Canis lupus familiaris: one gene and its partners. The protein of the gene in region 3 interacts with the protein of the main gene of each other region in a pairwise test. Links are inferred from orthologs where the notes say so. Each region holds a gene or a part of one and is shown on either strand. Other genes may lie near its edges.

Region 1 (4,255 bases), on a different chromosome or scaffold from region 3:
TAAAAGTCTGCTTTTTGCTACTCTGTCTCAGCTTCCTCAAGGAGAGTTACATGTAGATCTCTTTTCCTCAATCCTCTTGGCTCAGTGGCCATGCACTACACTGTTTGCCCTCTAAGTGAAATGAACAATGCATCAGGTATCATAGGAACAGACTTCTAAAAATGAAATAATTATGACTACCTTCGTCTCTGATCTCAATTGAAAAAATAGTCTAGATAAGTTTAAAATACAAATTTCTTATACATATAAAATAACACACTAAGTAATAGAGTTGACATTTCTTTTAAATAGCAATCACTGGGACGCCTGGGTAGTTCAGCGATTGAGCGTCTGCCTTTAGCTCAGGGCATGGTTCCAAGGTCCTGGGATCAAGCCCCACATCAGGCTCCCCATGGGGAGCCGACCTCTCCCTCTGTCTGTGTCTGCCTTTCTGTGTCTTTAATGAATAAATAAATAAAATCTTTAAAAAAAATAGCAGTCACTTTCAGAAACTGATATTTGTGCAATATATTTAATATCTCACCTGTCCAGCAACAGCAGTGAAGTATGTCCACATGGGGTCTCCTGCTGAGGAATAACTGTCAGAATACACTGGGTATCCACCAGGGAGAAGGTTTGGCCCTGTTCCTGGCAACGGCTGTCCCATTTGCATCTGCATTCCTGGCATCTGACCACTAAAATTTCCAAACTATAAGAGTGAAAAAGGATAAAGTTATTAGTACACATATTACTTGTTAACTACTAAAGTTGGTTTAAAAGAAAATATTTAGGAGGAGTCTACTGAAAAGCAAGAATAGAAAGAATTATTAAAAGAAACCAAATTCACTATCCCAAATGCTATTAGCTACAAAATCCTACATGTCCTGCATTAGGACATAATTCAGTTCATTAATGTGTCATTCAACATCAAAAGAAGTAAAACAGAATAAAAGAACTCTCTAGGCTCCAACAACTTAATCTAACAGAGGAACACGAAGCACATTTTTTAACTGTTTACCATCATCATCACTGAAATAAACAAAAAACAAAAAAATGCAAAAAAAAATTTCACCTGCAGTCAAACTAAGAAGTAGTATACTACTCCAGGCACATACTTAGAATAATACATGGTAAACACAACGAAATTGTGAACTAGTCATGGGAAACCCCAGAGAGTGCAAACATCTTCTCCACCAGAAAAAAAAATTAATTTTAAAAAAGCAAGACACCAATAAACAGATCAATAAAGTGATTAATTCTAACAACAGTCTTCAAAATTAGTAAGAATACCAACAAAAATAATACACAGCTAATACTTACTGCGCGCGTTTTATGGCCCAGGTACAAGTACTTCCCATTATGTGCTGAGATTTCCCCAAAACTGTATGAGGTATGAAACTACTATGTCCTTTTTGTCACTGAGGACCTGAAACTTCAAGAGGTTTCCTAAATCGGTTAAGGTCAAACACCTACTAAAAAGGAGACCACGGTTCAACTGTAGATAGTCTGATGTTTGTTTCCTGCTGTGGTTTATGCTTCTCTCTACGTTTTTCACTTTGGGACTGGGTATACGTTTTTAATACCTTAGAAAGGCATTTTACTGAGCATTTTTATGAGTCTGGAGGAGAAAAAAGTATCAAGAGTGTTTGTTATTCCGTATTGAACAAAATTCTTGATCTGCATCCTTGAAGGATGAACAGAGATTGCCAGAAGGCAAAAAGAAAAAAAAAAGAATTCTAAACTGGGGGTCGATGGGGAGAGAGAGTCAAAAGGTCGGATACTACCAGGAGTTTGAAGAGCTGCGTGGCTGGATGTGCAAGGGCGAGGTTAGGCAGGAGGTGCTGCAGCTCCAGAAAATGGACTTCAAACTCCAGGAAACGCACAACTAGATTATGAAGCAACGAAGTACCGGAAAGTAGACAGTAAACGTTAAAACAATATAATGGACTATAAAAGCAAACAGAAATAGGTGAGATTCCTTAAAAGTTTCTTCTTTAAAAAGAAGGAAAAAAAGACCACCCCAAGGGACCCGAAAAGGCCAACTGCAGGAATTTTTAAAAAGAGCATAAAACCAAAAAAATAAATTAATTAAAAAAATAAAAAAATAAAAAATAAAAAATAAAAAATAAAAATAAAAATAAAAATAAAAAGAGCATAAAACCACACAAGTTCCAACTCTCCAAGGTGATTCAGGATCAACAGGTCTGTAATAAAGAGTGGCCCTAACCCCGCCGACCTACGATAAGGTCTACGACAGGTTGCCCTTGGTGCGCACGAGAGCAAAAATTAGGAGACTAAATGTCTACATGCGCATCCTAATTTATTCTGCAGCAAATTAGAGGACAGAAAACGAGAAGCGGCCAAAAATTCAGAAAGAGGACGTCCAGAGAAGCTGAGGAAGTGAGGGTCGACCACAAAGTATCACTGGAACTAGCAGAGGGCACCTTTGTTCCTCCAGTCCAGGAAGGAAACTGCCGAAGTCGCGGCCACCGCGGGCTCCGCAAGGCCTCGCCCAGCGGCTCAGCGGCCCCGGGCCCCGACCCCGCGCTGCGCGCCGTCCGAGGAGGCCCCGCGCCCGCCCCGCGAGGCGGCGCACACGGCGGGCCGCGCAGCCGGCAGCCGGCACTCACCGCGCCGCCGTACCCCGGGTAGGCCATGACGAGCCGAGCCGGCGACCCCCGCCGCCCTCTCGCGAGAAGGGCGGAGCTGCAGGTGCAGGGCAGGTGCAGGCGCAGGTGCAGGGCAGGTGCAGGCGCAGGTGCAGGCGCAGGTGCAGGCGCAGGTGAGGCTCAACACGCGCCGGCCCCGCGCGGGACCCCCCGGCGACCGCCCCTTCCCGGACTCCAGCCCCGCCCCGCTCGGTCCCGATTGGCTGGGCCCCGCCCCTCGGAGCCCAAGCGGCCAAATCGCGCTCCTTCCCGCCGTCTAGTCCCACCCATCTCATCTCTGATTGGCTGCGCGCGCCCAGCCCCCTTCTGCTCGGCTCCTATTGGCCGGCTCGGTGGGTGGGGCGAAGCCTGGGCTCCCGGAGCTCAGGCGCTCCCCGGGAAGGCCGCCCCGGCCGAGCTGCTCCTTTCTCCGCGGATGCCCGGGGTCGCCGGGGGTCCCCGAAACCCGAGGCCCGCCAGGCCGGGACGTCTTTTCATCTCCTCCTGCGCTCTTTGGAGCTAGGCTTGCAAATCAGCCTCTGTGAATTACAAAACTTTCCGTTACTCACAATTATTTTTTTTGCGTAGCGTCGGTGTCACATCATCAAAACTTTGAGACCTTTATCGGCCCCAAGGGGAGCCCTTCTGACCTAAACCCCACCGGATGCGGAATTTTACCAAAATACAGAAGGCTATTTGTAGTTTGTTTGGTAGATAAATGGCGAAGAGAGTTGCCAGATTTAGCAAATAAAAGTACAGGATGTCCAGTTAAATTTCATTTTCAAATAAACAATGACTTTTTTTTAATGTCCCGAATATCACACGAGACATACACTTAATAGAAAAAAAAATACTCATTGTTGATATGTGAAAATACAGGGTGGCCTGTATGTTTTCTGACACCTGGACCAATGACCCTCTGGATGGACCTCCTGATTCCATCCACCGAGGGGGCACAGCTCGGTTTTTATCACTTGGTGGAAAGTTTTAACAGTCACTTTAATTTATTAAGTAATAGTAATTGACAGTTCCGCTGTTCTCTGAATTTTGTGGCTCTGGCCTTAAAAGGAGAGAAACGCACACACAGACACATGAAACAACAGGGCAGCTGCAGCATCAGCTTCGGAACAACGCCAGGTGGTATCTCCCAGGAGTATGACGACTGCTAAAATGTTTCTTAAGGATAAAGATGTGGGGGAGAAAAGCATTAGCTGTCTATCAGCAGAGAAACTCAACCCTGCAAAGCTGAGTACTAATGGCACAGTTACACTACAGAGAAAGAACCTTGTGAAACTTGATTTTATCAGGAAGAGGCAGAGAGAAAGGAAGATTGCTAATGCACAAGCCACTCTTGAGAAAGTCTGTGTTAGTTCCTCTAACATGATAAGAAATAATTTAAGCAATGAGGTTAGGTTATTGGAATAAATAGAGGGAGAGGATAAAACCTACTTGATAAGAGGAAAAACATGACTGTTAGAGCATCAAGTGATAACACACCACAAAGCAAAACAAATTGTTCCAAGGTTTTATTCTCATTGATTAACTACATATTCAGAGAAATGCTCAGAAAGGATTGAGTGTTTTACATTTACAATGTGAGTTTAAATCTCTGGTCAGAACTTTTGCAC
Region 2 (4,132 bases), about 42 Mb from region 3:
ATATTTTTAATGAACGTTTTCATCCTAGGATTATATACAAAATAACATTTGTTATATACTATTTTCAATGGTTTCACGTCCTTTAATCTAGATATTTCATGTCTGTATTTAACAGGAAAAAGACACTTCAATATTTTTTCTGAATAGCTGACCAATGATCTCAGCACCATTCCTTCAGTAATCTAACCTCTCCCTGCTAATTCCAAGTATTTCAATCAGATTTCTAATATTTCTCCATATTTGGGATTGATAATGGCCTTCTCTACTATTTATTTGTTCTATATTTATTCTGCCATAATATTGTTTTTTTTTAAATTTTTATTTATTTATGATAGTCACACAGAGAGAGAGTGAGGCAGAGACACAGGCAGAGGGAGAAGCAGGCTCCATGCACCGGAAGCCCGACGTGGGATTCGATCCCGGGTCTCCAGCATCGCGCCCTGGGCCAAAGGCAGGCGCTAAACCACTGCGCCACCCAGGGATCCCTATTCTGCCATACTATTGTGTTAATATTATAGCTTCACAATACTCTGTATCTGTCAGCATAACTTTCCCAAATTATTATTCTGGATCGTTGGAAGACCTCAGTGCTGTTCTATTTTAGAGGCCATGGTAGAGTTTTGTAAAGTGAATTTGCAGTAATATAATTTAGGAGAGACCGTAAGTTTGTCACAGGCTCTCCAGATAGGAAAATCCACCAGCAAGACTCAGAGCCTCACCTCCTGGGAAGACCTCACAGAGACCCTTCACAAAGGCAACCATCAGCTTAGGTTTTTAATTTAAAGTCCTTAAAAGGGAGATGATGTCTGAAGGGTCTGTACTATTAGGGTGATTCTGCAGGAGAAGGAGGTTATCAAGACTTTACAACTCGAATCCTACTTTTCAACTGAAAATAATTGTATTGTCTAATTATAACAACCAAAAATGGAATGCATGCTAATGGGAAACAAAAAAATTAATCATCCTTTCCCTTAAAAAAATAAAATAAACGGAAATAAAGTAAAAAATAATTATGTCACTTTCTGTGTATTTTCCAGACTTCCTTCCATTGCTGTTAAGGGTAATTTTGGGTTTTATTTGCTGGGGAGTTGGACAGGAGAGAAGTGGGCAATTAAAGGTTTAAAAAAGAATTATTTCAAAGCTGCAGCAGAAATCAGGGGAAAGGCAAATATAAACTACAAAATATCATGATGCATTTGGTTTTAAAGACTTCTAAACAGGAAAAAAACATAGAGATGGGTTGTAGTGGGGAGAAGGCAGGGATGAAGAAAAAGGTGGCCCCGCCCACACTCCCGCCCCCACCCTCTTGCCGCAATGCAGGTGGGAACCATAATTGGGTATCTGAGCTCAGAGTGACGTGGCCCTTACGAGACCTGGAGCTGACGCGTGGGTTAGCGTCTCCTCCTAGTTGCAGTCTGGTTGTCCTTTGTGGCTGTGCGCCGGCACGCTATTGCCTTGAAGGCAGGCGAGCCTGTAGCACCGGGAAGGAGGAAGTCGTAGAAGCTGACCCTGATCGGTTGCAGGTTAGTGGGCGCTGACTGGGGTGGCAGAGGGCTAAGACCGGAGAGGGATTGGATTCTCTCGACCTTTTTACCCAATACCCATTTATATGGTGCAAGAAATGGACGGCTTGGTGGGAGGAGATCGAGAGGGGCCAAGAGTTGGAAATGGGTACCAGTTAGGATGTCCTAGGAGTGCAGATCTCTTGGGCGATCCGGCGTCTGGAAGGGAAGAGCCAGGGCAGGGGACAGCGAGGAAAAAGCCTGATTGTTGCAGGGCGACGGGACGGGGTTGCAACCATTGACCCTGGGGATGACGGACTCCGCCACGGGTCTAGGCCTCGGTTCCGGAATCGGTTCTCCACCTCCGTCCATTTTGGAGCGGGAAATGGTGGGCTGCGGCAAACGGGGGGGAGGGGGTGGAGATGATGGTTGCTGCAGAGGATATGGACAGGGATTAGGTCCGGGAAACACTTCCCTTCTGCGGAGGAGGTAATCGAGAGGAAGCTTTCTGACTCAGGGATCTGGTCGGGAGCAAGAAAGGTGTAAGCCTGGGCGCTGCCTGCGGACCCTGGGGTAAGCAAGACAAAGCGCTTAGACATCAGCGGGTCCAGGTTTGCAATACCCACGCTACCTCTTCGCTCTTCGTCCATTTTGATTCATAAAATGGTGGGCAGTGAAAGGAGGGTGAGTTCCAGAAAGTCTAATGGGCCCCAACTACATTGAAATTTTTTATAAATAAACCAGGTCACCATCCAGCAAGCTGTTTTGACTCCCCTGCCCAGCAAGTTGTCCATTTGCATTCAAGAAATGCTAATCAGGTGACGGGAGGGCTGAGGCGGAGGTAAAGGGGCCTAAAGAAGAGGTGAAACTGGTTGGAAATAATAATCTTTGATTACAATGCCTATTTCTGGAGGGCGGAGTAGTGCATTGCAGGACAGGAGAAGAAACCGTGATACAGGATGGAGGAAAAAGAGAAGGTGGCAACCTTTGATTAACGGATTCCTAAATCAGCAACAGAGCAGGTGCCCCCCAATACTGGTCCTTTAATCAAGTGAACAGTCCTGGCCATCGTCGCATTTTTGTCTGCAGGTCTCTGGGTCCGTTGGTGCAGCAGATTTCAAAGCAAAGAGAAAACGACTACTTCTGAGCCTGCAGGTAAGTGGCTGCTTGGGGTCCTCTGGTTTAGGGTTTATCGGGGATCATGACAGAATCTGGGAAACTCACTGCCCTTCCAGCCGGAGTTAAAGTGCAAGAGGTGCAAGGAGTGGCCTAAGGAAAAATTGATGGGGAAAATGGTGAGCTTTGGAGCTGGGCTGGGTCTGGGGCGTCCCCTAGAGGGTGCACGAAGTTTCTCAGATGAGAGAAAACCTTTTCTGACAGAGCTCTGACTCCTGTTGTTACAAAGTATTACATCCTTTTTCTTGCTTTTTATCTCCTAGGAAGAGTAAGCAGGAAAAAAATCTCAACATGGAAAATGTCCCCCAGGAAAGCAAAGGAGAGGAGCAGGCTCCAATGCAGAATGAAGAAGCCCACCCTTTGGAAGGTGGTGAAGGCCAGGAGCCTGGAGAAAATATTAGAGCCGATTGGGCCCCGCCTGCCCATGATGTGAGAGAGGATATGCCCAATAGGCTTGTCAATAACCTTGACATGATAGATGGAGATGCAGATGATATGGAACGGTTCATGGAGGAGATGAGAGAGCTAAGGAGGAAAATTAGGGAGCTTCAGTTGAGGTACAGTTTGCGCATTCTTATAGGGGATCCCCCTCACCATGACCATCATGATGAGTTTTGCCTTATGCCTTGAATGCTGAGGTTAGTAATAATAAACTCCCTGCCTCCCAAAGTTGCATTTTCTTTATGTACCCTTTACTGTGAATCTGTGATGTTCTGTAATTTTTCTGATTGGAGAATTCATTTGACTTAGTCTGAAAGTTTTTCTGTCAGCGGGGGAGTTTCACCAACTTGCATGGAAAGATGTTTAGTACATAGTGTGAAGGTAATAAAGCAGTTTAAAAACCAGTCTATAAATACACTATCTCATTTAAAAGCATGCATAATATATGTGTGTGTATCAGAATGTTTCTTCTTTAACTTTTCTTGATTACTTATTTTTTCTCATTTTTCCAAAATGAATACATATGTATTATACATGTCAGGCAAAAAGTAAGAGGCAAAGAACTTGCCAATTGACTTATAAAGGGAATGGAGACAATCATTAAATGCTTCAGACACAATTTAAAGACACATGAATCTTCTATTACCTCTTATAATATAATCTCTTACTTGGAAGCACGAACCTGGTCATTATTACAGATATGTTTCTTTATAGTCAGCCTATTAATCTATGAATGAAGATAACATGCACACTCTCTAGGTGCTCTTCATATTTAGAGAAGGGCCCAAAAAGTATGTCTATCATCAAGTCTAAATGCCAAGTGGGTGACACCTTTTTTTTTAAGATTGTATTTGTTTGAGAGAGAGTACAAACGGGGAGGGGCAGAGGGACAAGTAAGTAGACTCCCTGCTGAACAGGGAGCCCAGCATGGGGCTCCACCCCTGGAGCCTTAGCTGGTCAGACACCTGACTGAGCCACCTAGGCACCCCTGGGTGACACCTTTCTATACTTAG
Region 3 (4,291 bases):
AAGGGCCTGGGCCCTCCCCTCTGCCCATCTGAGGCCCTGCTCCTGACACCAGGCCTCTGGATGCTCTGAGACCCAGATACAGAATTTGGGCCTCACCACGTGTTCCCATCCCCCACCCCTCACGTACCTTCCGGGACTGACTCTGGGCTGGGGTGCAGGGTCCCTGGGTCCTCCCTCTGCATCCTCACTGAACATCCCAGCAGGACCTGGCCCCTCCCCTCTGCCCACCTGAGGCCCTGCTCCTGACACCAGGCCTCTGCATGCTCTGAGACCCGGATGTGGCTGTCTGGACTCCCCAAATGCCCGTCTCCTCCCCGGCCCGCGAGGGGCCTTCCCAGACTGTCCTGTGTTTCTCCGTCCTCCCTCTGCAACCTCATGGGGAATCCCAGCAGGACCTGGGCACTCCCCCTGCCCACCTGAGGGAGGCCCTGTTCCGACGCCAAGGCCTCCTGACTCCCGGAGACCCAGATGCCGACGACCGGACTCGGCCCGTACTCCCACCCCCCAAGGGCCTTCCTGGACTCACACTAGGACCCCACCACCTAGAGCACTCCTCTTTTCTCCCTGAGGGTTCGAACCTTTGCCAGGTGACTGCAGGGCCTCCTCTCTGCCCACCTGACGGAGGCACGCGCCTTAGGCCTGTGTCTCAGAGACCCGGATGCGGAAGTGGGGCCTCACCACGTATTCCCACGCCCCCCGCCCCCACGACCTTCCCGGGACTGACTCTGGGCTGGGGTGCGGGGACCCTCGGCCTCTTCTGCATCCTCACCGGGAATCCCAGCAGCCGGGGCCCTCCCCTCCGCCCTCAGCATCTGCTCCCGCCACACCAGGCCCCAGGCTCTCGGGTTCCCGGATGTGCCAGGCCTGCCTCACCCGCCGCCACCATCCGGCCCTGTCCCGCTCCCCCGCGGCCTTCCCGGGCTGACCGAGGGCCCTGACCTCCGCCGGGTCCCCTCTGTCCCCCTCAGGGTCCATCCCTCGCCTCCCCTTAGCCCTTGGACCCTCACCTCCCCCTCAGGGTCTGCTCCCGCCACTCCAGGCCTCAGGCTCTCGGGTTCCCGGATGGGCCAGGCCTGCCTCACCCGCCGCCACCATCCGGCCCCGTCCCGCTCCTCCACGGCCTTCCCGGGACCGACTCTGGGCTGGGGTGCGGGGTCCCCCGGGCCTCTTTTCGCATCCTCACTGGGAATCCCAGCAGCACCCGGGGCCCTCCCCTCTGCCCACGTGTCCTAGGCCCTGCTCCTGACGCCAGGGGCCCCCAGTGCCTCAGGAGGCCCGGATGTGGAAGTCTGAGCACCCATACTCCCATGTGAGTGAGGGCAAGTCCCCATCCCAGGGGGCCCTTATGACCCTCCGACAGGGTTCTCTTTGTCCCTGTCAATGGTCCATCCCTCGCCTCCCCTTAGCCCCTGGACCCTCCCTCCGCCCCCCTCAGCGTCTGCTCCCGGCACACCAGGCCTCAGGCTCTCGCGTACCCGGATGTGCCAGGCCTGCCGCACCTGCCGCCACCATCCGGCCCCATCCCGCTCCTCCGTGGCCTTCGCGGGTTGACCGTGGGCCCTGACCTCCGCCGGGTCCCCTCTGTCCTCCCTCAGGATTCATATCTTGCCTTCCCTTAGCTCCTCAGCCATCGCGTCTGACCACCTAAGAGCTGCTCCTAACACCTAGTCTCTCAGAGACCCCGATGCGGAAGTGGGGCCTCACCACGTGTTCCCATCCCCCCTCCCACGACCTTCCCCGGACTAACTCTGGGCTGGGGTGTGGGGTCCCCCGGGCCTCATCCACATCCTCACTGGGATTCCCAGCAGCACCGGGGGCCCCCCTCTGCCCACGTGTTCTAGGCCCTGCTCCTGACGCCAGGGGCCCCCATTGTCTCGGGAGGCCCGGATGTGGAAGTCTGAGCACCAATACTCCCACGTGAGGGCAAGTCCCCATCCCAGGGGGCCTCACAGCCCTTGTTACCCTCCGCCGGGTCCCCTCTGTCCCCCTCAGGGTCCATCCCTCGCCTCCCCTTAGCCCCGGGACCCTCCCCTCCGCCCTCAGCGTCTGCTCCCGCCACACAAGGCCTCAGGCTCTCGGGTACCCGGATGTGCCAGGCCTGCCTCACCCGCCGCCACCATCTGGCCTCATCCCGCTCCTTCGTGGCCTTCCCGGGCTCACCGTGGGCCCTGACCTCCGCCGGGTCCCCTCTGTCCTGGGCTCCTGGGTCCCCGCCGTGTCACCGCGTCCCCACCGGCACTCCCTGTGTCCCTGCCCCTCTCAGGCCACTGCCCCAGGCCCCGGCATCGAGGCCTCAGCTCGACGTCGCGTTCCCGCCTTCCCCCGCGTGGTCTCTCAGGGTTCAGAAAGGGCCCCCCCACCCCCCGCCGCCCTCCGGGGCCCCTCCCCCGCCCTCGGAGCCCCCTCCCGGGGCTACCTGCTGCCCGGCTGCCGCCGGCCCGGGCCTGGCCTCCTTCCAGGGGACCCCAATGCGCCCCCCACACGAGGCCCTCCGCTCCCTCAGACCTCCGAGGCGGAAGTCGGCCCACGTCACATCCGGACCCCGTGCCAGGGGTCCCTAAGGGCTGGTTGCACGTCCGCGGGAGATGGGCTCTGCGTGGCGGGGGTAGGAGGACACCTGTGGGAGGCTCCCTGGGTCCTCTCGCGGGTCCTCCCTCCCCGGACTCGGGCGGGCTGCGGCCTCGGCTCTCTGCAGACCTCAGTCGGTGCCCCTTACACCGAGCCTCTCAGGCCCCGACGTGTCGTCCCTGAGCGCCCGAGGGGTGGTTGCTGCGGCTCGGGCCCCACCGGCTCTGCAGGTCCCGGGGTGGCCCAGGGCTGCCGGCAGGGGCACAGCAGGGTTCGGCGGCCCCCAGCGTCCTGGCACAGGTCGGCTCTCAGTCCTCACCCAGGAGGCCCTCATCAGGACACAGGCCTGCTGTGCAGCCGCAGCGCCCATAGCCCCGGGGCAGGGCAGGGGCAGGGGCCGGGAGGAAGCGCCCCTTCCCACGGGGTCCCTTGGCCAGCAGCCAGACTTTAGGGACATCGTGTTAAAGGTTTAGTTTCCTGGGGGCGGCCGAGCAGCTGCAAGGGTGTCTAGGGGTGTCCCGTATTGCGGGGCCCACTGCAGGGAGTTTTCCCCTGACATGCTGCGTCATCGGGAGAAACACACCGTCCCTCTCTACCTAGCGTGTGTCCTGTGCACGGGTATGAGTGCTGGCATGCTTACAGGCCTATTTATATCTGTGTGGCCTGTGTATATACTGCCTTTAGGAAAGACTAACTTCTCATACTACTTGTCAATACCCACTATTCTATTCCCGCTCTAGTCTTTATATCCTCTTCTAATAAGTTTTGAAAAGGACATCTTCCCATTGTAAGGTGAATTTTTTTTATTTTATTTTTTATAAATTTTTATTTATTTATTTATTTATGATAGTCACACAGAGAGAGAGAGGCAGAGACACAGGCAGAGGGAGGAGCAGGCTTCATGCACCGGGAGCCCGACGTGGGACTCGATCCCGGGTCTCCAGGATCGCGCCCTGGGCCAAAGGCAGGCGCCAAACCGCTGCGCCACCCAGGGATCCCTGTAAGGTGATTTTAGATAGCTAATGCCAGAATCCAGAAGCATCTGCCTCAAACAATGCCGTGTTCTCTGCTGTCCTGATACTTGCCCAGGGCTACTGGCATGTGTCCTGCCAGGTCATGCATCAGGTTTGTGCCAGGAAGTAGGGGCAGAAGGTGAAAGTCGTTCCGAATCCCCCTGCTTTCCTCTGCATCTCTGCAGCCTACATTCTCTCCCCACATCCCTGCTGCCCCTACATCCCCACCCCAGATACCAGAATCCACCCACACTCTTAAGGGCCCCCCCCCCCCGGGGGGCTTTCTTCTGTGTTGTTCTGATACTGCTGTTCATATTATGTGTGTTTTGAAAGACTTGCCATTTTGTAGAGCACACTTAGGTCCAGGGAAACAGACAGCACTATACACAGATTTCCCACTTAGCCGCTTCCACGCTCCTACATAGTTTCCCTCATACCAACACCCCACCACAGCCACACGCTGCTCATCACTGATGAAGGCCCTCGATTCATCCACATCACACAGAGCCCATAGAACCCGTTAATCTTCACACCTGGTATTTATTTTTATGGGTTTAAACTCATGTATGATGATGTGTATCCATCAGGATAGTATTAGACAGAGGATTTCACTTCTCTGCCTATTGCTTCCTCCCCACACAGCCCTGTGCACCAATGATAGTGTCGTTGTCTCCAGAAATTTCCCTTTATACAGTGTCATTAATTGCGAA

Evidence for each region.
Region 1: the proteins of melanoma-associated antigen 10-like (region 3) and GCA interact in binary tests that used the Homo sapiens proteins (3 or more experiments, as listed by UniProt). The link is inferred for Canis lupus familiaris from reciprocal best matches to the Homo sapiens genes MAGEA8 and GCA.
Region 2: the proteins of melanoma-associated antigen 10-like (region 3) and BEX5 interact in binary tests that used the Homo sapiens proteins (3 or more experiments, as listed by UniProt). The link is inferred for Canis lupus familiaris from reciprocal best matches to the Homo sapiens genes MAGEA8 and BEX5.

Annotation. Positions count from the first base shown.
Region 1 is NC_049257.1:8,046,337-8,050,591, reverse strand, and holds the start of GCA (grancalcin), read right to left. Parts: upstream 2,803-4,255; 5' UTR 2,637-2,802; coding exon 2,610-2,636; intron 2,083-2,609; exon of another isoform or gene 1,300-2,082; intron 689-1,299; coding exon 524-688; intron 1-523. UniProt on the Homo sapiens protein: Calcium-binding protein that may play a role in the adhesion of neutrophils to fibronectin. May play a role in the formation of focal adhesions.
Region 2 is NC_049260.1:76,328,645-76,332,776, reverse strand, and holds the start of BEX5 (protein BEX5), read left to right. Parts: upstream 1-1,330; 5' UTR 1,331-1,523; intron 1,524-1,959; exon of another isoform or gene 1,960-2,075; intron 2,076-2,591; 5' UTR 2,592-2,657; intron 2,658-2,941; 5' UTR 2,942-2,969; coding exon 2,970-3,308; 3' UTR 3,309-4,132.
Region 3 is NC_049260.1:118,690,646-118,694,936, reverse strand, and holds the start of melanoma-associated antigen 10-like, read right to left. Parts: upstream 2,808-4,291; 5' UTR 2,417-2,807; intron 2,216-2,416; exon of another isoform or gene 2,161-2,215; intron 1,851-2,160; exon of another isoform or gene 1,476-1,850; intron 1,363-1,475; exon of another isoform or gene 1,008-1,362; intron 731-1,007; exon of another isoform or gene 579-730; intron 75-578; exon of another isoform or gene 1-74. UniProt on the Homo sapiens protein: Not known, though may play a role in embryonal development and tumor transformation or aspects of tumor progression.